Saccharomyces cerevisiae S288C: one gene and its partners. The protein of the gene in region 1 binds, or shares a complex with, the protein of each later gene. Each region holds a gene or a part of one and is shown on either strand. Other genes may lie near its edges. The genes, in order: RPC19, RPC37, RET1 and RPA135.

Evidence for each region.
Region 2: RPC19 (region 1) and RPC37 share a complex: the UniProt entries of both Saccharomyces cerevisiae proteins name them as parts of the RNA polymerase III (Pol III) complex.
Region 3: RPC19 (region 1) and RET1 share a complex: the UniProt entries of both Saccharomyces cerevisiae proteins name them as parts of the RNA polymerase III (Pol III) complex.
Region 4: RPC19 (region 1) and RPA135 share a complex: the UniProt entries of both Saccharomyces cerevisiae proteins name them as parts of the RNA polymerase I (Pol I) complex.

Annotation. Positions count from the first base shown.
Region 1 is NC_001146.8:409,967-414,251, reverse strand, and holds RPC19 (DNA-directed RNA polymerase core subunit RPC19), read right to left. Parts: upstream 1,482-4,285; coding exon 1,053-1,481; downstream 1-1,052. Other genes in the region: DEAD-box ATP-dependent RNA helicase DBP2, read right to left, coding at 1-613; YNL115C (uncharacterized protein), read left to right, coding at 2,199-4,133. UniProt on the Saccharomyces cerevisiae protein: DNA-dependent RNA polymerases catalyze the transcription of DNA into RNA using the four ribonucleoside triphosphates as substrates.
Region 2 is NC_001143.9:484,538-489,330, reverse strand, and holds RPC37 (DNA-directed RNA polymerase III subunit C37), read right to left. Parts: upstream 1,562-4,793; coding exon 713-1,561; downstream 1-712. Other genes in the region: GCN3 (translation initiation factor eIF2B subunit alpha), read left to right, coding at 1-593; DBP7 (putative ATP-dependent RNA helicase), read left to right, coding at 1,959-4,187; RQT4 (Rqt4p), read right to left, coding at 4,320-4,793. UniProt on the Saccharomyces cerevisiae protein: DNA-dependent RNA polymerase catalyzes the transcription of DNA into RNA using the four ribonucleoside triphosphates as substrates. Specific peripheric component of RNA polymerase III which synthesizes small RNAs, such as 5S rRNA and tRNAs.
Region 3 is NC_001147.6:728,993-736,143, forward strand, and holds RET1 (DNA-directed RNA polymerase III core subunit RET1), read right to left. Parts: upstream 4,466-7,151; coding exon 1,016-4,465; downstream 1-1,015. Other genes in the region: mRNA-binding ribosome synthesis protein NOC2, read left to right, coding at 1-652; tyrosine protein phosphatase PTP2, read left to right, coding at 4,933-7,151. UniProt on the Saccharomyces cerevisiae protein: DNA-dependent RNA polymerase catalyzes the transcription of DNA into RNA using the four ribonucleoside triphosphates as substrates. Second largest core component of RNA polymerase III which synthesizes small RNAs, such as 5S rRNA and tRNAs.
Region 4 is NC_001148.4:575,638-582,914, forward strand, and holds RPA135 (DNA-directed RNA polymerase I core subunit RPA135), read right to left. Parts: upstream 5,560-7,277; coding exon 1,948-5,559; downstream 1-1,947. Other genes in the region: SUT2 (Sut2p), read left to right, coding at 915-1,721; MRA1 (Mra1p), read right to left, coding at 6,736-6,921, 7,065-7,097. UniProt on the Saccharomyces cerevisiae protein: DNA-dependent RNA polymerases catalyze the transcription of DNA into RNA using the four ribonucleoside triphosphates as substrates. Component of RNA polymerase I (Pol I) which synthesizes ribosomal RNA precursors.

The DNA of each region.
Region 1 (4,285 bases):
CTGTTTGAATTTGAACAGCCAATTCTCTAGTTGGAGCCAAAACCAAAACAATTGGTCCATCGCCTGGAGCCAATAATGGTTGAGCGTTGATATGAACAATACCTGGTAAACAATAAGACAAAGTCTTACCGGAACCAGTGGCAGCAATACCAACCATGTCCCTACCAGATAAAGCCATTGGCCAACCCTGACATTGAATGCCAGTTGGTTTGTCAAATCCTTCAGCCTTCACTTCATTCAAAACGTAGTCTGGGAAACCAGCTTCATCGAAAGTGGTGATTGGCTTTGGAATATCGTGTCCGGAAATAGTCATTTCATTTTCCTTTCTGAACTGAGCAATCTCACTGTCCGATCTGTCGCGAACACTTTCGTGTTCAACATAGAAATTCTTTTCGAAAGTTGGCAATTTGGGTAATTCTTCATCCCAGTTTGGTTTGATCAATTCCTGGGGTTGGTTGTAATTGGAACGACCACCGAAACCACCACGGTAGTTACCGCCTTGTGGTCTGTCATTGTAAGAGTTTCTATCAGAGTTTCTTCCACCGCGGAAGTCGCCACCTCTAGACTTGTAGTTAGTCTTGTTATATTGCTGATCTCTACCACCGTAAGTCATATTTGCTCTAAATTTGCCTTAATAGTGCTTAATTCTGTTACAGGTTGTTGACAAGAAAATAATTTGAATGAGATACAGAAAAGTATAAGTTATTTGAGCGTAGGACAGTCTTTTTATAAGACAAATAAACTGAAGGAAAAATTTTCTGCGATGAGCATCGGCGTAAAAAAAAAAAAAAAAAAAAAAAAAAGAAATAAAAAAAGAAATAAATTTTTCAATCATTCAATACGGAATACGCCTTTAAAAAGGAATTTCGAATTCTCAACATTATTAGCACCTTGTACGAAGGTGTATTTTTATCTGGTTATATTATACATAGATTTTAAATAGCACGACTATAAACGGGATACACAAATCAAGCTGTATCTATACTAGCGTGGTGTGCATAATTATTAGAAATTTCAGAGTGACAGAGGGTCTTTGAGTCGATCCGTAACATCTACATGCTCTTGATTTTTTCAGTAAACTTAGATTCTACAACGTCACATAAATCCATCAAGTCCTTTAGCCCTTTTTGAAGAGCATCCACCGCGGTCGTTTCACCGTAGGTTTGAATTCTGATATTTAATAGGTTTTCAGAAGGATGAGGTATCGAGTAACCACAAAATTCTACGTCTGGATTTTTCATTATAACGTAACGAAGGGCATTTCCAAGCGTGTGATCCTCCTCTACAATTTGAAAAGAGGCACTAGTTCCATCTTCAGATGTTGCCTGTGTGAGAAGCTTAATTTTTTCCCTGTCTGGTTCCTCTTCCTGTTCTTCATCGCCAGTCATATCAACATCCTGTTCTTCTTCTTCTTGGATGTGCTTTGGTTCTTGTGGTGTTACCTCTGTAGCGGTCTTTTTTTGTTCGATGTCTTCAGTCATTTGCCTGGTACTTTATGTGAAGTTCAATTTTTCCGACTTTGGATTGATGGCCTTTCCCCAATTCGTTACTTTATACCTCAGCATTAGTATGGTTTTCTTTTGAAATTTTTTTTTTTTCCAGCTCATCGCAGGTGAATATTTCTATCACTTGTTACGTTTACCATTACCCGGATTGAAGTAAATATGATTCACCCCAATAAAGCTGTACAGAAGAGATAAGATGTAGCTTTATTAGAACAAAGTTTATCACGTTGTTGGTACTTAGAATAATCTATGATATTGTTGCGTCTTTTTGAATAAGCTTTCTTGCGTGCCGTTTTTTTCGGTTTTTTTTTATATTTCTGCCCAAAAAACGTAGTTCAAAGAAAAGGAACTATCCCAAAATAGAAGCAAGTTATGTTTAAGGAATTAAAAAATGTACCTATAAAGCACGTTTTTCTGATATGTATATGCCTATGTAATGTAGAAGTTGTCGAATCAGCAATCGTATTGGTCAACCTTGATGGCATGTTCTCAGCACGTTTTGAAGTGGCTATGCATATATAGTGTTCTTTAATCTATTCCTTGCAAGGCTATTCGGACCCCTAATTTTAACCATCGTGCAGTTTAAAGGGATGAGAGAAAAACTAAAAGTTAGATGCCTTGCTATATTCTATAAGGAGGAAAGGAAAGGAAAGCCATTGAAGAAAGAACTGTAGGCATCAGAGCGAACAGATCATGAAGGCTAATGGTTTAGATAATGATCCGGCAAGGACGGGAATGGAAAGAACAGATATAGATAGTGAACACCCAGAAGCGCAACCGTTGCTGAACAACAACCACCGGACCCTTGGTGCAGGATCCGCGAATGGCCCAGCAGTTAATGAAGGTCGTGACATTGAATCCGATGGGTTCATCAAAGATAGTCTCTTTCAAATTCGCAAAGGTTATAGAATCTTTATTCATAACTCCAAATGGATATTAAATATCCTAATTCTAATTAACACCATCTGGCTAGTCACCACTTTGATTTCAGATTTCTTTTTCAATATCAATATTCTTTTCGGATTCAGTAACAGGTACGCAAGTTTTAACGACTTGACTTTAATATTCATCTCGATCATAGCTAATTCTTTCAATCTCTGGTTTAATAAGCTGGGACTGTACTCAGCTTTAGATTACAGCTTAAATGTAACTCTCTGTGTTTTGACGTTGTTCAATCTAGCATTGACCTATCTAATTAAATACACTAGGCAAAGAATCGGCTTTGTGGGCACGTTTACATATTTGTGGACTTCGTTTTCATTTTTTATTGGGGCAATATTAGATTGGTATCTCTTGTTTTACAACAACTCAATAAATGAGCCATTGGAGGAACGCAGAATTGATGATGCTAATATTAGTACTTTCAACGAAAACCATACAAATAGTACCGAAAACAGGGACAGAAGCCAATATGGCTCTGGGTCGCCAACCCCCACCCACCGCTCGCAGCTGGTCCAAAACAAACATACATTGACAGAATGGGTATCCATTGGGTTCAGGAATACTATTAAGTTTTTAATTTTAATATTCTTCGCTTTATTCACCCTGAATACACTTTTAACGACATTGGATACCTACAGATTGACTCACAAATTACCAATAACCGTTCAGTCGCCCTCGTACGAGGCGTTCCATTACGTAGATGCCGCTAAAACCTATCAGTTGCATATAACTTGTTATGGTGACGTATTTGATCAAGAAAACAACACAGATTTGTCTGAAAATAAGAAGCAACCTATCATCTTGTTTGAACACGGAGGTTATGATACTGGTTACCTTTCTGCCACCTGGATTGAGGAACTATATCATTTAGACAAAATTCAAAGATATTGTCTATACGATAGACCAGGGTACGGGTTGAGCGATTCTCCTCCCGCCCCAATCTCTATTGCGATGGTTGCGGAATCTTTAAGGTACGCATTGATCAAAGATGCAAAAATTAAAGGTCCCTTCACTACAGTAGGATACGACCTTGGCGGGCTATTTACAAGAGTATTTACCGCCAAGAATGTCGATATTGTGGATAGCATGATGCTTGTTGAATCATGGCATGAAGAACTATTGTTAAAAAACTACATTCAAAGATTACTACCTCCAGGCCGTGGTGATGGCGACGATGGCGACGATGGCAATGGTAATGATGGGGATGGCCGCAACCATGATAAGACTTGGTTACCTTCGGAGATAGAAAGGCATAACGAATTTAGATTATGGTGGAAAGGCATTTGGTCGAGTTTAGGATGGAGATTACAGACTTCATGGTTACTAGCTCATCATGGGTCTAAAGAACGTATATATGGGCGTGATATGAAATATCAAGGACGTTTCTTGCGTTCCAAGTTTTTGGAAAGCGTGACGAGTTCAATTCTAAGTTACAGAGATGTGACAAACAATGCAGAATCTTTGCAAAATGTGAAGACAAGCATCGTTAGCTCTAAGGAAATGGTGAAGAAGTCGGCATTATGGGGCGATTGGCAAAGAGATTTGACCAAAATTTCTCACAAGACTCAAGAATGGAAAATAGTTGAAGGTGGGCATGAAATATATAAGTATGGTCTGGGCAAACAACAAACTCAAGAAGTCCTATTAAGATTAATAGGTGAGCTTGGCAAACTAACCGAGGATTAACCGAGTTCTTTACTTTTTTTTTAGTTTTATATGTGAAAGCAAAATTGACTGCCAACGATGGAGGTATTGTATTCCTGAAAACAATAAGTCAAATATGTAAACGGCGCAAATATATAAATACTAAGAGAATAATTAAAATAATATTAAGGTAC
Region 2 (4,793 bases), on another chromosome or scaffold:
GTAACAAGATTGCAGAAATAGGGGTGGATTTCATAGCTGATGATGATATCATCTTGGTACATGGTTATTCGAGAGCAGTATTTTCTTTATTAAATCATGCAGCAAATAAGTTTATTAGGTTCAGATGTGTGGTGACAGAATCAAGACCTAGCAAACAAGGGAACCAGCTATATACTTTACTTGAACAAAAGGGCATACCCGTGACTCTTATTGTCGATAGCGCGGTTGGAGCGGTAATCGATAAGGTTGACAAAGTGTTCGTTGGTGCTGAGGGTGTTGCTGAATCAGGTGGTATTATAAATCTCGTGGGTACCTATTCAGTGGGTGTTTTAGCACATAATGCAAGAAAACCATTCTATGTGGTCACTGAAAGTCACAAATTTGTTCGTATGTTTCCATTGTCTTCAGATGATCTACCTATGGCCGGCCCTCCTTTGGATTTCACACGTCGTACGGACGATCTAGAAGATGCATTGCGTGGGCCCACGATCGACTATACCGCCCAAGAATACATTACTGCATTGATTACAGATTTAGGGGTCCTCACTCCAAGTGCCGTTTCAGAAGAGTTAATCAAGATGTGGTATGATTAAAAAAAATCACATAATATATGCACGCAATGACTTAATAGAAAAGGAGAAAAAGCGCAAGAGCATCCTTTATGTGAAACTGATGTCTGATGCTGTTCTTTCTTCATGATGCATTATGTACTTCAAACTAGATTATCTATATAGTCTTCTTGTTTCTCTAAGGCTACTAAAGTTTTATCTTCAGCTTCTTTCACGATAGTATCTTTGAACTGTTCAAACGTGCCTTCTGCCCAGGTCAATTCAATATTAGCCTCTTCATCGGCGACTTTATGTGCCAGCAGGGAGCCAGTGAGTCTGTTTTGCGAAGGGTCGTTGACGCTCTTTACAGACATGGTAACCACTTGAGCGCGTTGTGATGAAGGATTAGGGTTCCTTCTGGCGTCCTCTTGCTTTCTTGTTACATTTGCGTCGTCGATATATTTGAAAAATGGCTTCAATTGTGCTACCCTCTCAATAGGTACCAAATAAACCTGCATATCTTTGACAAATGCTGCATATTGGCCATTGTTTTCCACACCCACGCCTTTTAATGTTTGGACATTAACCCCATTCCATTCGCTCTCAGCCTTATCCTTGTTATAGAAGGCCTGCTCATCCAAAGGAATATCTATTTCCCATAGGTGCGACTTGGGTTTATATCTTGCTGCAGAGATAAACGGATGCTCAGCAGGTTTGCGTCCTACTAGCCTTGGTCTATTAGCATACTGAAACACGTGCAGTGACTCCTCTTCTCCGGAGATCTTCAATGGAAACTCTTCGATCACTGGGTCATCCTCTTCTTCTTCACCAGTATCATCTTCAGCTTTTACTTCTTCGGATTTTTCCTCTTGCTCATTAGCTATAGCGCTGTTTGTTCCGTTCTCATCCGCTATCATATCAATGTCGTTAGATTCATCCTCAACATCAGCACGGTCCTGCGTCCTGTCTTCCTCATCCTCTTCAGTAACAAACAACTTGTTGTCAATACTCATCTATAACACTAGCCTATTCCACTTTCACCTTGCACTGCTTGAGCCAGATCATTTAAGCTCATCTCTCGCTTTTATCCATCTTTTGCATTCATTGTAACATTTCTTTTTTTCTTGAATAATTTTGTCAGAATACTAACCCTAAGGCCTGAAAAATGAACAGAGTTTTTATAAAATTTCAGTTTAAAATTGAATGTTGCCCTAACAATATGGATTAAAAACCCTGACATATTAGGTTTCCATTTTACTTGAAAAATTTGCGATGAGCTTAGGAAAATAAAAGATTGAGTACTTGTATGTGATATTTCTAATTTAAGAAAGTACGATTGTTTATATTCTTTTTCCTTTGGGATTATTCATATTCCAAATAAGCATACTTATTCAGCAATTTAACACCAAGATGAGCGATGAAGATTCTATGCTGTTAAACTTCACTACCAATGAGGACACTGCAGGAAGTTCCTATAAGCAAGCTGCCAAGGTGACAGGCGGTAGATGGAAGGATAGAAGAAGAATGAAAATGAAGCTTGAGGGCAAGACAGTCTCGAGGAAAAGAAAGGCGAACACTACAGGGGACGAAGGGATAATTCCGGGTAGAGGCGAGAATTCTATTAAAAAATTGCATAAGGAGAGTTCCTATAGTTCTGAAGAGCAGGAAAAATATAAGGGTAGAAATGCTCATAACACTCAAGGGAGAACTCTACCAGCCGATTCTCAGTTTGTTTCATCCCTGTTTACATCTAACAGAGAGATTACAACTGCGGTAAACACTAATATTCATGATGAAAACGTTGCCATCAATCCGTCTAACGCGCCCTTGAAAGGTGATCAGTTTGCGTCTTTAGGTGTCTCTAGTCTTCTTGTTTCTCATCTGGAGCAAAAAATGCGTATTAAAAAGCCTACGAGCATCCAGAAGCAGGCCATACCTCAAATAATAGGTAACGCGGGGAAGAACGATTTTTTCATTCACGCCCAAACAGGCTCAGGTAAGACTTTATCGTATCTTTTACCTATAATATCTACTATTTTGAACATGGATACTCATGTTGATCGTACTTCTGGTGCATTTGCATTGGTTATTGCTCCTACACGAGAACTAGCATCACAAATATATCATGTTTGTTCCACGCTTGTGTCATGTTGTCACTACTTGGTCCCATGTTTATTGATTGGTGGAGAACGTAAGAAATCAGAAAAAGCTAGATTGCGTAAGGGTTGCAATTTCATAATCGGTACACCAGGTCGTGTTTTGGATCATTTACAAAATACAAAAGTTATCAAGGAGCAATTGAGTCAATCTCTAAGGTATATCGTATTGGATGAAGGAGATAAGTTAATGGAATTGGGTTTTGATGAGACGATCAGTGAAATTATTAAAATTGTTCACGATATTCCCATCAACTCCGAAAAATTTCCCAAGCTACCGCATAAGTTAGTGCACATGTTATGTAGTGCTACACTTACTGATGGTGTTAATAGGTTAAGAAACGTGGCGTTGAAAGATTACAAATTGATTAGCAACGGTACCAAGAAAGATTCTGATATAGTAACGGTTGCGCCCGATCAACTATTGCAGAGGATTACTATTGTCCCACCAAAGTTGCGTCTTGTAACATTAGCTGCTACTTTGAACAACATTACCAAAGATTTCATCGCTTCCGGTCAACAGTCCAAAACGCTGCGTACAATCGTATTCGTATCATGTTCAGACAGCGTGGAGTTTCATTATGACGCATTTTCAGGAAGTGACGGGCACCATAAAAATCTAACGGGTGATTCTGTAAGACTATTGACAAAAGGAAACACTATGTTTCCTTGTTTTTCAGATTCTAGGGACCCAGATGTAGTGATTTATAAATTGCACGGTTCTTTATCCCAACAAATGAGAACCTCTACATTGCAGCATTTTGCTCGTGATAATGAAGCCACCAAGGGAAAACATCTTATTATGTTCTGTACAGATGTCGCAAGTAGAGGCCTAGACCTTCCCCACGTTGGATCTGTTATTGAGTTGGATCCACCATTTGCTGTTGAAGACCATTTACATAGAGTTGGTCGTACAGCAAGGGCCGGTGAGAAGGGTGAAAGTTTGTTATTTTTACTTCCTGGCGAAGAAGAAAAATATATGGACTATATCCAGCCGTATCATCCGATGGGTTGGGAATTACTGAAATTCGATAAAGAAATACTAATGCCGGCTTTCAAAGATGTGAATGTCAACAGAAATGATAAATTCATTAGAAAAGATGAGAAATCGTCCAAAAATAAAGACGTGGGCGATAAAGAATATGAGTGGGATACCAATGCTACGACATGGCATTTGAATATAGAAAGACGAGTAGTGGGAGATTCCGCATTCAAAAATTTGGCCGTTAAAGGTTTCATTAGTCATGTGAGGGCTTACGCAACGCATATCTCTCAAGAAAAGAAGTTTTTCAACGTGAAGTTCTTACATCTAGGCCATTTAGCTAAAAGTTTTGGGTTACGTGAAAGGCCAAAGGCTATGGGATTGCAAAGTAGTAAGGATGGTAATAGTGAAAAGAAGCCAACTAAGGAAAACTCTAAAAATAAAATGTTTCGTATGGCTCGTATGGCAGAGAAGCAAATAGCAAGTGAGTTTAACTACTAAATAGACAAGAACAAGCATTAATTCATATAAAAAAAAATTGTATACTATGAAGACAAAGAAAATGATAAAATCTACAGAAAATGAATAACGGTTATATCCTCTATCATATATAATATAAACTTTTACCATTCATCAAAGTACAGCAAGAATATTCTGTTCTACTGATGCGTCTGCATTTTGGTCCACTTGTACTCTTGACTTTAAATCATAAGCTTGCATGTCGTGAGCCTTTTCTTCCGTTTTTCTATTCTGTTGTGCAGTATCTGAATTTTTTTTCACATACGTAGGCCTATCGAATTGTTTTTTATCACGTTCGTAATCCCATGCTTTGGACTGTAAATGCAAATTCTCCAAGGATTTCGTTGTATTTATTTCACTTTTCAGAGCGTGTATATGTTTAAGGTCGCTGATATCTTCTTCGTCACTTATATCACTGATGTCATCATCTGAACCTGCAATTACGTTCTCTGTATCCTTAGGGACTTCTGTCATAGTAACTTTACCGTTTGAACCTATATTCATGCTAACAACGTACTTCTCGCGCCTGCCATTCCGTTCCTTTTCTACTTTTTCCCACTTTCTCAAATTACGTTGTTGCTTCTTCAA
Region 3 (7,151 bases), on another chromosome or scaffold:
AAGATTTTATTTGATTAAATCACTTATTAGACTTTCTCAAAATAGTGGTGTTTTTATTCCAATATATCCTTTACTTTCTGAAATTTTAACCTCAACGGCTTTCACTAAGGCACCCAAAAAGAGCCCTAACTTGGCTGCTTTCGATTTTGAGCACAACATCAAATGTACGCAAGCTTATCTGAATACAAAAATATACCAAGAGGGTTTGTCAGAACAGTTTGTGGACTTATTGGGCGATTATTTTGCTCTGTACTGTAAAAACATTGCATTTCCTGAACTTGTAACACCGGTTATTATCTCTTTACGCCGTTACATCAAGACTTCAACTAATGTCAAACTTAACAAACGTTTATCAACTGTTGTAGAAAAATTGAACCAAAACAGCACATTCATCCAAGAAAAGAGATCAGATGTTGAATTTGGGCCAACAAACAAATCTGAAGTTTCAAGATTTTTGAATGATGTAGCTTGGAATAAAACACCTTTAGGTTCTTATGTTGCAGTACAACGTGAAGTTAAGGAAGAAAAGGCCAGATTAATGAGAGAAAGTATGGAAGAACAAGACAAAGAAAGAGAAACAGAAGAAGCAAAATTATTAAACAGTCTGGAAAGTGATGATGACAACGAAGATGTTGAAATGTCAGACGCTTAACAACTCAGCAAGATTTGATTTTTTGTCTTGAATTCAATAGTTAAGTCTATAAATGTGTAAAATAAAGAAAAGTCTTTTTTAAAGCGTATATATCATTGTGCTCACATGTGCTAACATGTGAGCACTCCAAGCTTTCTCTTGTCAGCTGGATATTTTTATATTTTGGCCGGTTTATGGATAGAAAACACGTCAAACGTTCGATGGATCTTATAAAAAGTAATGATGTAAAGCAAGGTACAAAAATGAAAGAAGTACGGTTTACTGTTATATAATTTTCGAAATCGTTCAACTCTCTTAAAGTTCCTCACGAAATAGATATGATTGCTAACATAACGCAAAATTTAGTACAAGATATATGATTTCTTACTGCTGGAAGATATCTTCCAATCTTAATCTTGGGGCTATGTTCATGGATAATAATTCCTGGAATAACAGTTTTGCTGCATATGGAATAGTCATCTTAATAATATTCTCAGCACTTTTGCAGGTAGTACACCAACCACTATAGCCCATTAATCCACATTTATCGCAGACATCAACTTCAAAAGCATCTGAACTAATCATCAACCTTTCTAACAGCAATTGTGAAGCACCATACGCGATTACACAATCCCTCTCCATCTCACCCAACCTCAGACCACCATCTCTAGATCTACCCTCAGTTGGTTGACGTGTCAAAACAGCCCTTGGACCACGAGCTCTTGCATGCATCTTATCTAAGACCATATGCTTTAACTTTTGATAGTAAATGGGGCCAAAAAAGATGTAAGCCTGTAAACACTCACCTGTTATACCTGAATATAACATATCCTTACCGGAATAGTTGAAACCTTGGTCTACCAAAATCTTAGACATATCTTCAAGTTTAGAACCACCAAAACAAGTACCATATTCCAATGTACCATTCAATACACCAGCTTTACCCGATATCAGTTCGATCATTTTACCCACAGTCATACGAGATGGAAAACCGTGAGGGTTCATGATAATGTCTGGAACTATACCTTGATCGTTGAAGGGCATGTCTTCTTGCTTTACAATAATACCACAAACACCTTTTTGACCATGTCTAGAAGAAAATTTGTCACCTAATTCTGGCCTTCTGTTTTGTCTTAGCAAAACTTTGATTAAAGCTTGATCGTTATCCGAAACAGACATCATAACTTGGTCAATGTGAGAAGGTTCTGGACCTCTATATATTACCGGAGCTTCCCTATATTGAGTTTGGACGTTTACGTTGTTTGGGTTTGGGGCGTCTGCTGAGTTAGTTGGAACTGACTTATTTATATAAATTTGTCCACTTTGGACCTTCATACCCACCTCACCTAGACCATCAGGACCAAGAGATTGATGTTGCCAGATAGGATCTCCATTTTCATCAACTCTCATACCACCGATGATATCTTGGGTATGGTTCGCATATCTTTTCAAAACAGTGGTTGTCTTTCTACGTGTTTCGCAACGGCCGAAACCTCTATCGATGGATGACTTATTCAAAACCAAAGCATCTTCAATATCATAACCAGAATAGGACATGACAGCAACCGTAGCATTTTGACCAGCAGGTAATTTATCATAATCGATCAATTCAATTGTTTTGGTTTTCACCATTGGCTGTTGTGGATAAGTCATCAAGTATAATAATGTATCTATTCTCTTGAATTGATTGTAGGCGATTGCACCAATCGCTTGCTTACCCATCGCACATTGATATGTGTTACGAGGGGATTGGTTATGATGTGGATATGGAATTAAACCAGCAACAGCACCTAAAATTGTGAATGGCTCGATTTCTAAATGTGTCATCGAGGGAACTATATCTTTTTCATACAATGCAATGTAAGAATCGTTTTCTTCATTGACATCTAAATATTCCACCAATCCGAGTTTCAAAAAATCATCGAAATCTAACTCACCATCTAATAATTTGCGTAAATGAATATCTTTCACGCGAGATTGACCATCAGAAACAATGATTAATGGCCTACAAATTCTACCACCATCTGTTGCAATATGAACTGCCATTTGGTGAGAATTTGAATAAATTGAGATAAACTCCGACACTTTACCTGTTCTTCTCAGATGTCTGAACTGAGTAACGAATTTTGTTGGGAATCTGATTGAACCAATTAAAGTACCATTCAAATAAACACCATAGTTTAAATGCAAGGATGCACTGTCAATCAATGTTATGTCTTCTACACCAAGAACATAACATAATTTCTTTATAGGTTCCTCTTCGTCATCTGTAGTAATATGAGTCATTAATGCTAAATTTTTCACTAGACCACACGCCTCACCTTCTGGAGTATCTGCAGTACAAAGCATACCAAATTGAGAAGGTTGTAATGCTCTTGGACCGGAAACTTTTCTTGATTTTTCAAACTGAGAAGAAATTCTTGTCATCATACCCAATGCGGAAATATAAGATAGTCTGGAAAGAACATGTGTAACACCCGCTCTTTCCATCTTAAATCTTTTAAGAGACCAATTACCGGTTGAGATAGCTCTGTTCAGTCCGCTGGTGATGTTATTTGAATGGACGTTAATTGACAATAATGCATCGTATTCCATAGCCCTATTTGGTTTTTTCAAGACCTTATCAATGCTTAGTTTAAAATCATTATTAAACTTTTTGAACAAATCTTCGAACAATAAAGAAATCAATTGGCCTGCTAATTCAAGACGTTTATTACCAACATAATCTCTATCATCAATCATCTTAGGGTTATACATTGCCATCACCACCCTGCGCGTCATCATGGCAATATATAAAGCCTTTTCTCTAAAGTCAAGGGCTTCCACAGTCAAATGTGCAATAACCGTGGTAGCAATGGCCTCTATACCCTCTTGCAGGATAGTCAGTTTTTGCCTTCTCATTGTCTTTACTTTTGCACCAATATACTCTAAAGCTTGCTGTTGTGTGTAAATATCTAATTTCGAAGATTCTTCCAAATTGACTGCAAAAATATCTTGGTAGCTACTATCATTACCGCAAACCAATTGCATAATTTCTAAATCTGATAAAATACCACAGGCTTTGAGAACAATAGCAATAGGAATTTCTTCAGCGATGGAATTGTGCTTCAAATAGATCTTGCCATTTTTGGTAATGACATAAGTCTTAGATTTTCTTTCATGGGTAGATGAAGTAACGGAGGCCTGAACAATGCCTTTCTTCTCATCTGCCTCCACAATAATACGATTCTTGGATAATTGTTCTTGAACAAGAATTACTTTTTCGGTACCGTTAACAATAAAGTAACCACCAGGATCCAACGGACACTCGTTTAATTTAGCCATTTTCGATTCATCAGCATCATATAGGATACATTTATTAGATCTCAGCATGATCGGCATCCTACCAATTTCCACGTCTTTATGCATAATAATGTTTCTACCTCTAGTGTATTCTATATCCACGTAGATTGGTGCAGAGTATGTCATATCTCTAAGCCTACACTCATGAGGCGGAGTCAAATAATCTTTTGTCGAAGAAGAGGACTTCTTACCCACTCTAATATCGACGTACTTCAGGTAGAATTCTGGATCAACATCACTCAAAATTAATTGATTTGCCTTTATAATTTTTTTTAAATCTGTATCAACGAAGTAGTTAAATGAGTCAAGATGTTGCTTCACCAAACCTTTAACCTTCAAGAATGCTGGTAAAAGGTGCCACTTATCCTGAGCAGTATTGATTTCATCAGTTAGTTTCTTACCTTTATATACTGGTTTCAATAAATCATCAAAAGCCTCGTCTTTCACATGCTTATGTATATGAGTTTTCCGTCTTTTTGTCGCAGCAACCATTTTTCAACAAGCACTAAGTCCCTAGCGATTAAAACGCTCAATTATCAACACTTTAAACTCCCTTTAATTCTTTCCTAACTTGTCCATATATCATCACTTAAGCATAGATCGAAAAATTTTCAGCTCATCTCACAATTACAATTTCGTCCGACGTGATCTGGAAAATACGCGCCTGCTTTATGGAACTATTTATATCTTTATGTGTAGTACACCTAACAATAAGGAATATATAAAAATAATGCACCTATTAAAACCTTTGGGAAGTGCCAACTTTGAATCATCATCTTTCTTTGAACACCGCGCTGCGACCTTTGACAAGAAAGACGAGATCACTCAACCTGACAGACCCGATTCCCCTGGTTCCCCTCTTCCGCTTTGCACAGCCCTTTTCGCTTAGTTTGGAAGCCTAGGTCCGATCCCCAGTGCTATTAATAGTTTACAATAAAATAGGATCGACGTTGCTATTGATGGATCGCATAGCACAGCAATATCGTAATGGCAAAAGAGACAATAACGGCAATAGAATGGCTTCTTCCGCTATATCGGAAAAGGGCCACATACAAGTCAATCAAACTAGAACACCTGGTCAAATGCCCGTCTATAGAGGTGAAACTATAAATCTGTCTAACCTTCCCCAAAATCAAATTAAACCGTGCAAAGATTTGGACGACGTTAACATACGGCGGAACAACTCTAATAGGCATTCTAAAATACTTTTACTAGATCTGTGCGCTGGCCCCAATACCAACTCATTTTTAGGCAATACCAATGCTAAGGATATCACAGTTTTATCGTTGCCGCTACCCAGCACTTTGGTGAAAAGGTCGAACTACCCGTTCGAGAACTTACTAAAGAATTACCTTGGATCTGATGAAAAGTATATTGAGTTCACAAAGATCATCAAAGATTATGATATTTTCATTTTCAGTGATTCGTTTAGCAGAATTTCGAGTTGTTTAAAGACAACTTTTTGCCTCATTGAGAAGTTTAAAAAGTTCATCTGCCATTTTTTTCCATCTCCTTATTTGAAATTCTTTCTTCTCGAAGGCTCTCTGAATGATAGCAAGGCCCCCTCATTAGGAAAAAATAAGAAAAATTGCATCTTGCCCAAATTGGATTTGAACTTGAATGTAAACTTAACTTCAAGGTCAACTTTAAATTTAAGAATAAACATACCTCCACCCAATGATTCAAATAAAATATTTTTACAGTCTCTGAAAAAGGATCTAATTCATTATTCTCCTAATTCTTTGCAAAAGTTTTTCCAATTCAATATGCCTGCTGACTTAGCACCTAACGACACGATTTTACCGAATTGGCTAAAATTCTGCTCCGTAAAAGAAAATGAAAAGGTAATATTAAAGAAACTCTTTAACAATTTTGAAACTTTAGAAAATTTTGAAATGCAAAGATTAGAGAAATGCCTGAAATTCAAGAAAAAGCCTTTACATCAAAAGCAGCTATCACAAAAGCAGAGGGGTCCGCAATCCACGGATGATTCAAAATTATATTCTTTAACTAGTTTGCAACGACAGTATAAAAGTTCTTTGAAAAGCAACATACAGAAAAATCAAAAGCTAAAATTAATTATACCAAAAAACAACACATCTTCTTCGCCATCACCATTATCTTCCGATGATACTATAATGTCACCAATAAATGATTACGAACTTACTGAAGGAATTCAGTCTTTTACTAAGAATAGATATTCTAATATCTTACCTTACGAACATTCAAGAGTAAAGTTACCTCACTCCCCGAAACCACCTGCAGTTTCTGAAGCATCCACAACCGAAACTAAAACAGATAAGTCATATCCGATGTGTCCCGTAGATGCAAAAAACCACTCCTGCAAACCGAACGACTATATCAATGCGAACTATTTGAAGCTCACGCAAATTAATCCTGATTTCAAGTATATTGCTACCCAAGCTCCGCTTCCTTCTACGATGGATGATTTTTGGAAGGTTATTACTTTAAATAAAGTTAAAGTAATAATATCATTGAATTCTGACGATGAATTGAATTTAAGAAAATGGGATATTTACTGGAATAATCTGTCATATTCCAACCACACTATCAAACTTCAGAACACCTGGGAGAATATTTGCAATATTAATGGCTGTGTTCTCAGAGTCTTTCAAGTCAAGAAAACAGCTCCACAAAATGATAATATCAGTCAAGATTGTGACCTTCCGCATAATGGTGACCTTACTTCCATTACCATGGCTGTATCCGAGCCGTTTATTGTTTACCAATTACAATACAAGAATTGGTTAGATTCATGCGGCGTAGATATGAATGACATCATTAAACTACACAAAGTCAAAAATTCGTTATTGTTTAACCCGCAAAGTTTTATTACAAGCCTCGAAAAGGATGTTTGCAAGCCTGATTTGATAGATGATAATAATAGTGAGTTACATCTCGATACAGCAAATTCATCGCCACTATTAGTCCATTGTTCTGCAGGGTGTGGAAGAACAGGTGTTTTCGTTACCTTGGATTTCCTACTAAGTATTCTTTCACCTACAACAAATCACTCAAACAAGATTGATGTTTGGAATATGACTCAGGACCTTATCTTTATCATAGTGAATGAATTAAGAAAGCAAAGGATTTCAATGGTACAGAATCTAACTCAATATATCGCTTGTTATGAGGCATTATTAAATTATTTTGCCCT
Region 4 (7,277 bases), on another chromosome or scaffold:
TCTAGGTTTAAACTACGGGGCTCCATACCTTATCTCTTCACTTATCAAAAGTAGGCAAAAGAAAAGAAAATAAATATAATTTCTTTTTCTGCAGGCAAGATTTTAAAAGAACTTGCGCGTCCTCTGTGCAATCTACCTGGGGAGTCTCGGGCTTTAACCGCTCCCCATTCTAAACTGCTTCCATTGACGTGTACTATACTGCTCACTTCTTGCTCTTCGAGCAACAAAATCTGTATTACGTTTCTTACACTAGTCGAGTGAAAGAGATAAGATACCCACTTTTACTTGCCGGGAGAATGGAAAAGAGAAAACGGAAGAAAGGGCTTAAATACATTTTCCTTTAATATGAACATCCTACTGTAAGATAAAAATTGGATGCTGATAATGGAAAGGAGACATGTACGGTATGTACGGCAAAACCTCGGCGGGTTTTCGCCGCTAGCTCATATATTCTTTCGTTAAATTTTAAAATTTCTTATTCTAAATCTTCTTTACATGTTTGGAAAGAATTTATTGGAGAGAAAAATCTAGACCTGCCAAGCCGATAAACGAATGCCTGCGAAGAAATAGTGTAAATATTACTCCTGAAGGTAGAGTCATCTAGGCGGAGACGAAAACAAAGTTTAGCTTTTCGTGAAATTGCCCATTTCATGTTTATCAACCACCAAAGGTTAAATGGAGGTTTGACAAAAGAAATTTTCTTGCTAAAGGTTAGCATTTTTTTTGGAATTTTTTTTCCTTCGACTGGCTGTAGTTGTCCTTCTATATTACGTACAACAAAAACTTTCTTGAATGAAGAATTAGTTCTATCATATAGACCATAAGAAAGAAAACGCACTTGGATAATTTTTAACAAAGAAGAGGGCAAACTGACGCTCACCAAGCTATTGGTTTGTTTGGATCAATCGTCAGATATGAAGCCGAACAATCGAACTTGTGATGTAATTACCAACAAAGATGAATCTCTTCCTGCACTTTTGCTGCCTGCACTGAACAGTTACACCTGTGACGATTCATTGCTAAAAGGACAAATTTCAAGCAATGGCAGATATCAACCATTCGGGTTTTCTGATTGCTCTTTACTGCCAAAGCGTTTAAACATTCAGGCAGGGCAAGGATCTATGCCAGTTTCTTCGATTCAATGTGCAGACCACAGTTATAGTAATTGGCAAAAAGAATCCGAAAAGACTAAGCTTCCCAAGCTTGGTTGCCCAACAGAGTACACTGAATACTATAAAACTGTTTCTTCCGGCGAAACAACCGATTCAGCGGTTGTTTCATCTATAGCAACGAACAGACTCAAAAGAAAACGTCAGAGGGACGGCCCAAGTTGTGACTCTTGTAGGATAAAGAAAATAAAATGCAATGCAACAATCATTATCTTTTTACAGGATAGGAACCTAATTTCATCAATTTCTTCAAATTTGCATTATACACTTTCCCAAGACGACATAAACCAGTTTCGAATGAAGTTTTTCAGGAAACTGCCTGACGTGATGGGCACATATGAAGTCATAAAACACCTTGATAAAATAGTCCTTTTCAAAGCCTGCACCTCTTGCAGTAGAAGAAACCAAAAAAATGGAAAGTGTCTTTTTTCGAGAGGATTTACAAAATCTGATATGAACGTATTTCCCAAGATAAATAGTAAACTTAAAGACAAAAGTATCTTCGAGATGACTGTCGATGATTATGTTGCCGCTGGCTTCCAAACCCTTTAGGTTTCATGCATGTAATTTCCTCCTATGTAAAATATAGGAATATTAATAAAACGCACCAATAATAAGTTAGATATTTTTCTGCAAGATATAAATTTGTTTACTCATACATATATATTCTATTGCGGGGCGCTCTTGTATAAGTAATTCAATAAAAAACCTCTATATGATACAATTGACCAAGCCTTCATTTACCATTCTATATCAATTTGGAAAGAAGGGTATTTCTCTATTTGGGCTCTACATTATAACGCAATCTTATACCCATTGCGGATAGCTCAGAGTCCAAGTACTTCAACACAAATGGTATGGCCACCGTAGTTGTTTCATTACCACCAACAAATTTGTTACCTTGTCCATCTTCCCAAATTTGAGAGTCGTCAATAAAAATTTTCTCTCCATCTTCTGATTTAGTCAATAGCTTCTTTGCATCTTCGAATCTCATGGAACAACGACGGCAACAAACGGTGGAAATCGAACCAATTCTTGGCACACTCTGTTGCGTGGTCAAAATAGAACCACACTCGCGACATACGGATGCCTGTGTGTAGTCTGATGAATTTAGCAGACGATCTTGTAATAGAAAAGATGTACCATGCCCAATCAAAGCATCTCTTTCCATTTCACCGACACGAATACCACCATGTCTCTTTCTACCTTTGACAGGCTGCATAGTCAAACTATTCACAGGACCAGTGGAACGAACTTGGAACTTGTCATTGACCATATGACGTAATCTTTGGTAGTAGACAACACCAACATAAATATCTGCCCTTAATTCTTCACCAGTAGCACCTGAGTACATTGGCTCATTACCATGGTAGTTGTAACCCGCCTTCGCTAGTTGCTCACCAAAGTAATCGGCTGGGGTATCGTCCTCGTTAAAGATCCAAGGTGTAGAGTCCTGTGCAATACCATGCAATGCCCCCGCTTTACCTGCTAAAGATTCGACGAACATACCAATGGTCATACGCGAAGGGAAAGCATGAGGGTTAATGATGATGTCTGGTTGGATACCTGTTTCGCTAAAAGGCATATCAATGGTTGGCCATTTTCTTGAACAAACACCTTTTTGACCGTGTCTAGAAGAAAATTTATCACCAATTTGAGGCGTTCTTCTAATACGATATTTTATGCTAACAGTTTGTAGTTCTTGGAACTTATTGGATTCATCACCGATTAAATTTACCTCTTCGATATATGCTGGTTCAGAGGAGTGATATGTCTTGATTTTGGTCTTATTTAAAGTATCGTCAAAGTATGCGCAGATTGGATCACCCTCTTCAACATAAGTGCCAATGTATGGCAAACCATCCTCGTCTAATTTCTCAAGCCACTCCTTTGGCCATTCGTCATTCCCGAAACCAAAATGCTGTGTAATTGGGTCACCACGGTTTCTGTTAAGTGCTAAATCCACTTTCTCAGTCTTATACATAGTACCATAACCGAAACCTCTTTCATCTGCTGATTTGTTTATAATCATTGCATCATCCATATCATAACCAGTATACGAGATGACCGCAACAACAGCATTAAACCCGTTTGGAAAGTTATCCATGCCATAATCATCATATAAATTAGCTTTTACGATAGGCGTTTGACCTGTTTGCAACCTATACAGCTTATTGTCGGAACGATGGCACAAAGCTACACCCGGAGTACCCATTGTTTGTTTACCCATCTGACATTGATACATGTTTCTTGGAGACTGGTTGAAATCAGAAAATGGAGTCAAATTAGCCAAAATAGAAAGAATATTTGTGGGCGTAAATTCTACGTGTGTATGAACGTTATTTTGAATTTCTTGAGGAGTGACAGCAATGTTCATGTACACTTGCTCAAAAGGTCCAACAATGTCTTCTTTATCCAAAGGCAGGTAACGAACAGGACGCAGCATCCTAGAATGACCACCAAATAGGTAGAGACCTGGATATTGACCACGAGTTGAGGGAGGAACATATCCAATTTCTAGATCAATCGGTAACCCAGGCGTCTTGCCTTCAACTTTCCAATATCTCAATGTATCCGCAATGATCTTACCTTGTTCATGAGAGACCCAGCCAATAATTTTACCATCAATTTGAACACAACACAGAGAAGGACCAGCAGCAAAGGTGTGAGATGCCGGAGCAACACCAAGTGAGTATAATATAGAAGGAATTCTTGAGACGTCAGATTGCTGAGTTGATATACGACACTTGTGCGCAAAATGGTTTAATAAACCACAAGGAGAACCATCTGGTGTATGAACAGGGCACAGGAATCCCCACGACTCAGGTAGCAACTTTCTGACTGTGGTAGTTTTCAATTGCGCAAAAAAGGAGCCTCTATGAACCATTCTAAAATGAGAGATAAAACGGTAGAAGTTAATTTTTTCTGCAACCACAGTATAACCAGAAACTTGTTGTAAATCTAACCCAGACTGGGACACCAGGTTACCAGTTGATAAAAAGTATTGCATTTTGGAACCAATGTTTTCATTAACCCTCATTAAAACTCTTGACATGTACCTTTTGTCTTTGAAATTAATGGCCATACCACGGTTAATATCCATCCTGACTTGAGCAATAATATTCTGTAAGTACTCATCAATCTTTTCTTTTAGGATCATACCATATAAGAAACCACCCAAAAGAACTTCTTGATGTTGCGTAGCATCTGGGTTATCTGGAGAACATTCGCCTGCAACCAAGGAATACAACTTTCTGATCATGAACAATAACATTCTGAATTTATCCTGGCTGCCATCCTTACCCAAATGCACGAGAACGATGCGATCAAGGACTTCTTGTCCGACTTCTAAATCAGATTGATCAGGGGAAGCTTGAAAGACAACACGAAATTTGTCTCCTAAATATTGCAAGACTTGTGTGCGATTTTGTAAATGAGGATATCTTTTCTTAAAACCACGTAACAGTAATTCTAAACGATCGGTCAAAAAGGAATCCTTAACGTCATTACCAATAATACCATCAAAAATTTCCCTATCGCTGGTATGACACAAGGCTTTTAAAATCATAACAACAGGAACTAAATATTCATTTTTTCTCCAAGAAAATCTAAATGTAACTTGACCGTCATTTAAGTAATGCAAAACATTAGTTTGGGAAGTTTGATCCGGCCTGACAGATCTAATTTGAATACCGTAATGAGAATAGGATGCACCCCTGTTAGCGAAGGAAGGTCTGATGATAGCCATAGGATGATTTCTACGTTGCACAATCAGCATTCTAATAAGCTTTTCTATACCGTTAACAATGAAATAACCACCTATTTCATCGGATTCTTCCTTGTGTTGTACCAGTTCATATGGTGACATCTTGTTCAAGTGACATCTGTTACTCTGTAGCATAACTGGTAGACCACCACAATCTCTTACTTCAAATAAGTTCTCCTCGCCATTGTTCACGGACCACTTCAACTTTAAAAGTAATTTACCTCTGTAAGAAGTAAGCCTTTGTCTTGACTCACTTGGGTAAACTTTTCTCTCTACTGCAGAAGAAACACCATCGTTAGACATTGGCTTCGCAATAGACACTTGTTCCACACTAACAGAAAGCTTATTCCCGAGGTATCCGCTGTTGGATATTTCGTCTTCAGAATTGAGTGGTTTTCCATCAAATATAACTTTTTCACCGATGTCTTTAACACCAAGATTTAACAAACCTCCATCCGGACCTTCTGTTAATGCGTTAAAAGACCCAATATGAGGTTGAACAGCTTCCTGTAATAGTGGAAATGCTGATTTATCCTTAGGTGGATTGATGAACCTAGATTCACGTTCTAAGGTACGGAAATCAGCAGTTCTGGCTTGGCCAGGCGGCTTAATCACTTTGCTCATCTCACCAAATGCGTAATTCTACGTTTATTTGTCAATATTCTTGAGGAAGACTTGCTTGAATATTACGAGACAGCTGAAGTAAGTTTGAATAATTAAGAGATGAGATGAGTCTCTAAGATGCGCTTGAAAAATTTTTCATACGAAAAAAAAAAAAAAAAAAAAAAAAAAACACTCGCAAGAGTAATCTCAATAATAATTTCCGTCATTAGCGATTATAGCATGAAGGGAGGCCGAGAGGCCGCTTCTGCGGTATGATAATTAAGTGGTAGTGCAGAGACTCAAAAGGGCGCTGAGAATCTATTAGAAATGCCATTAAGTGCTTTGAACTCTTGTAGCATGTCTGCTTCTGTAGATATAACACTCTGATGCAGATTTATGAATAATTTCATCACTCGATGTCATCAGCGTCTTCCTTCATTTGATGCTTTTTTGAAGTTTTCATGGCATGATTTAGCATTTGAAATATAATGAGAAAAGAGCCCTTTAACTTACAGAAGTAAATGTACAAAACTTAATCGGAGGAAGAAGCTTAAACATACAAAAACAACAGCAGGATGACTACAAAGAAGCCGTTAAACAAATCTTTTTGTCTCCGTTACTAATTCACTAATATAGTAATTTTGCTAACCTCTATCGTCATTGAAACTGATTTGTCCTCGAGAAGGCAACAATCAAACTGCAAAAGAAACGTAAAGCAACGACTTGAACAAGTAATCGCTAACCACATATTGAGATAAGCAGATAATCGCTGTTAAACGTCGTTGATACAGTCAGTCAATATGAATAGTGTAGTATTTTATCGTTAGGTTCACCTTCCAAATATTCGTTAGATAAAGATGTTTCGGTTTTTTATTTCAACAAAAGAGCCTTGTTGGCGCAATCGGTAGCGCGTATGACTCTTAATCATAAGGTTAGGGGTTCGAGCCCCCTACAGGGCTTTCTTTTTTATTGCATGGTCTATCATCAGGTTCCCTTAACCGCTGCCAAGAAAGAGCACGTGTAAAAATGGAATGATTATACATCAATTAAACATATAGTCATGGTGGTGTTGACATGTATATAATATACATTAGTTTTGTCATATTTGAAGAATAAATAATATTTCGATTTGTTCCCGACAATTATTGAAAATGTTTTAAGTGTAGATATTAATATAACAAATCATCAACATGGTTTTTAATCCTTATCTTTGGCAAGGACTTCATCTAAACTAGATAATTCTGGGTTACCTGTCAATCTCAAAGTCTCGTCAGTTCTTAATTTCTTATATGTGAAGTATGTCCCAGAGCATAAAGCTACACCAACAGCGAGAAATAACGGTGTTAATTCGACGGGTATTTTGTAGCCACCAGATGTTTTTTTCTAGTTTTTTGTTAGTATAATACTCTATAATCTTGTAGTTAGCATTCATAATCAACATAATTGTTTTCTTAGAAAGCATCAAGTCAGAATGAACGCATGATTATCCGTTTGTCACAATAAAAAGAAAATATCCCTTAACATACAGCTGTATTCAACAGTAACTGTGCTGGTCTCATTTTTCTATATTTTTCTTTTTTTAAAGTATTGTCAGAAGTCGTTCAGGAAACTACCAAAATTAAATAAGTCTCAAAACAAAGTTAGCTTATACTGGTATGGGAAGAGTTATAGTTGCTTTTGAGGAGATGGCGATGCCTTTAAAGTCTGTTCTCATGCTCATCATAAAGTACGGGAAATCC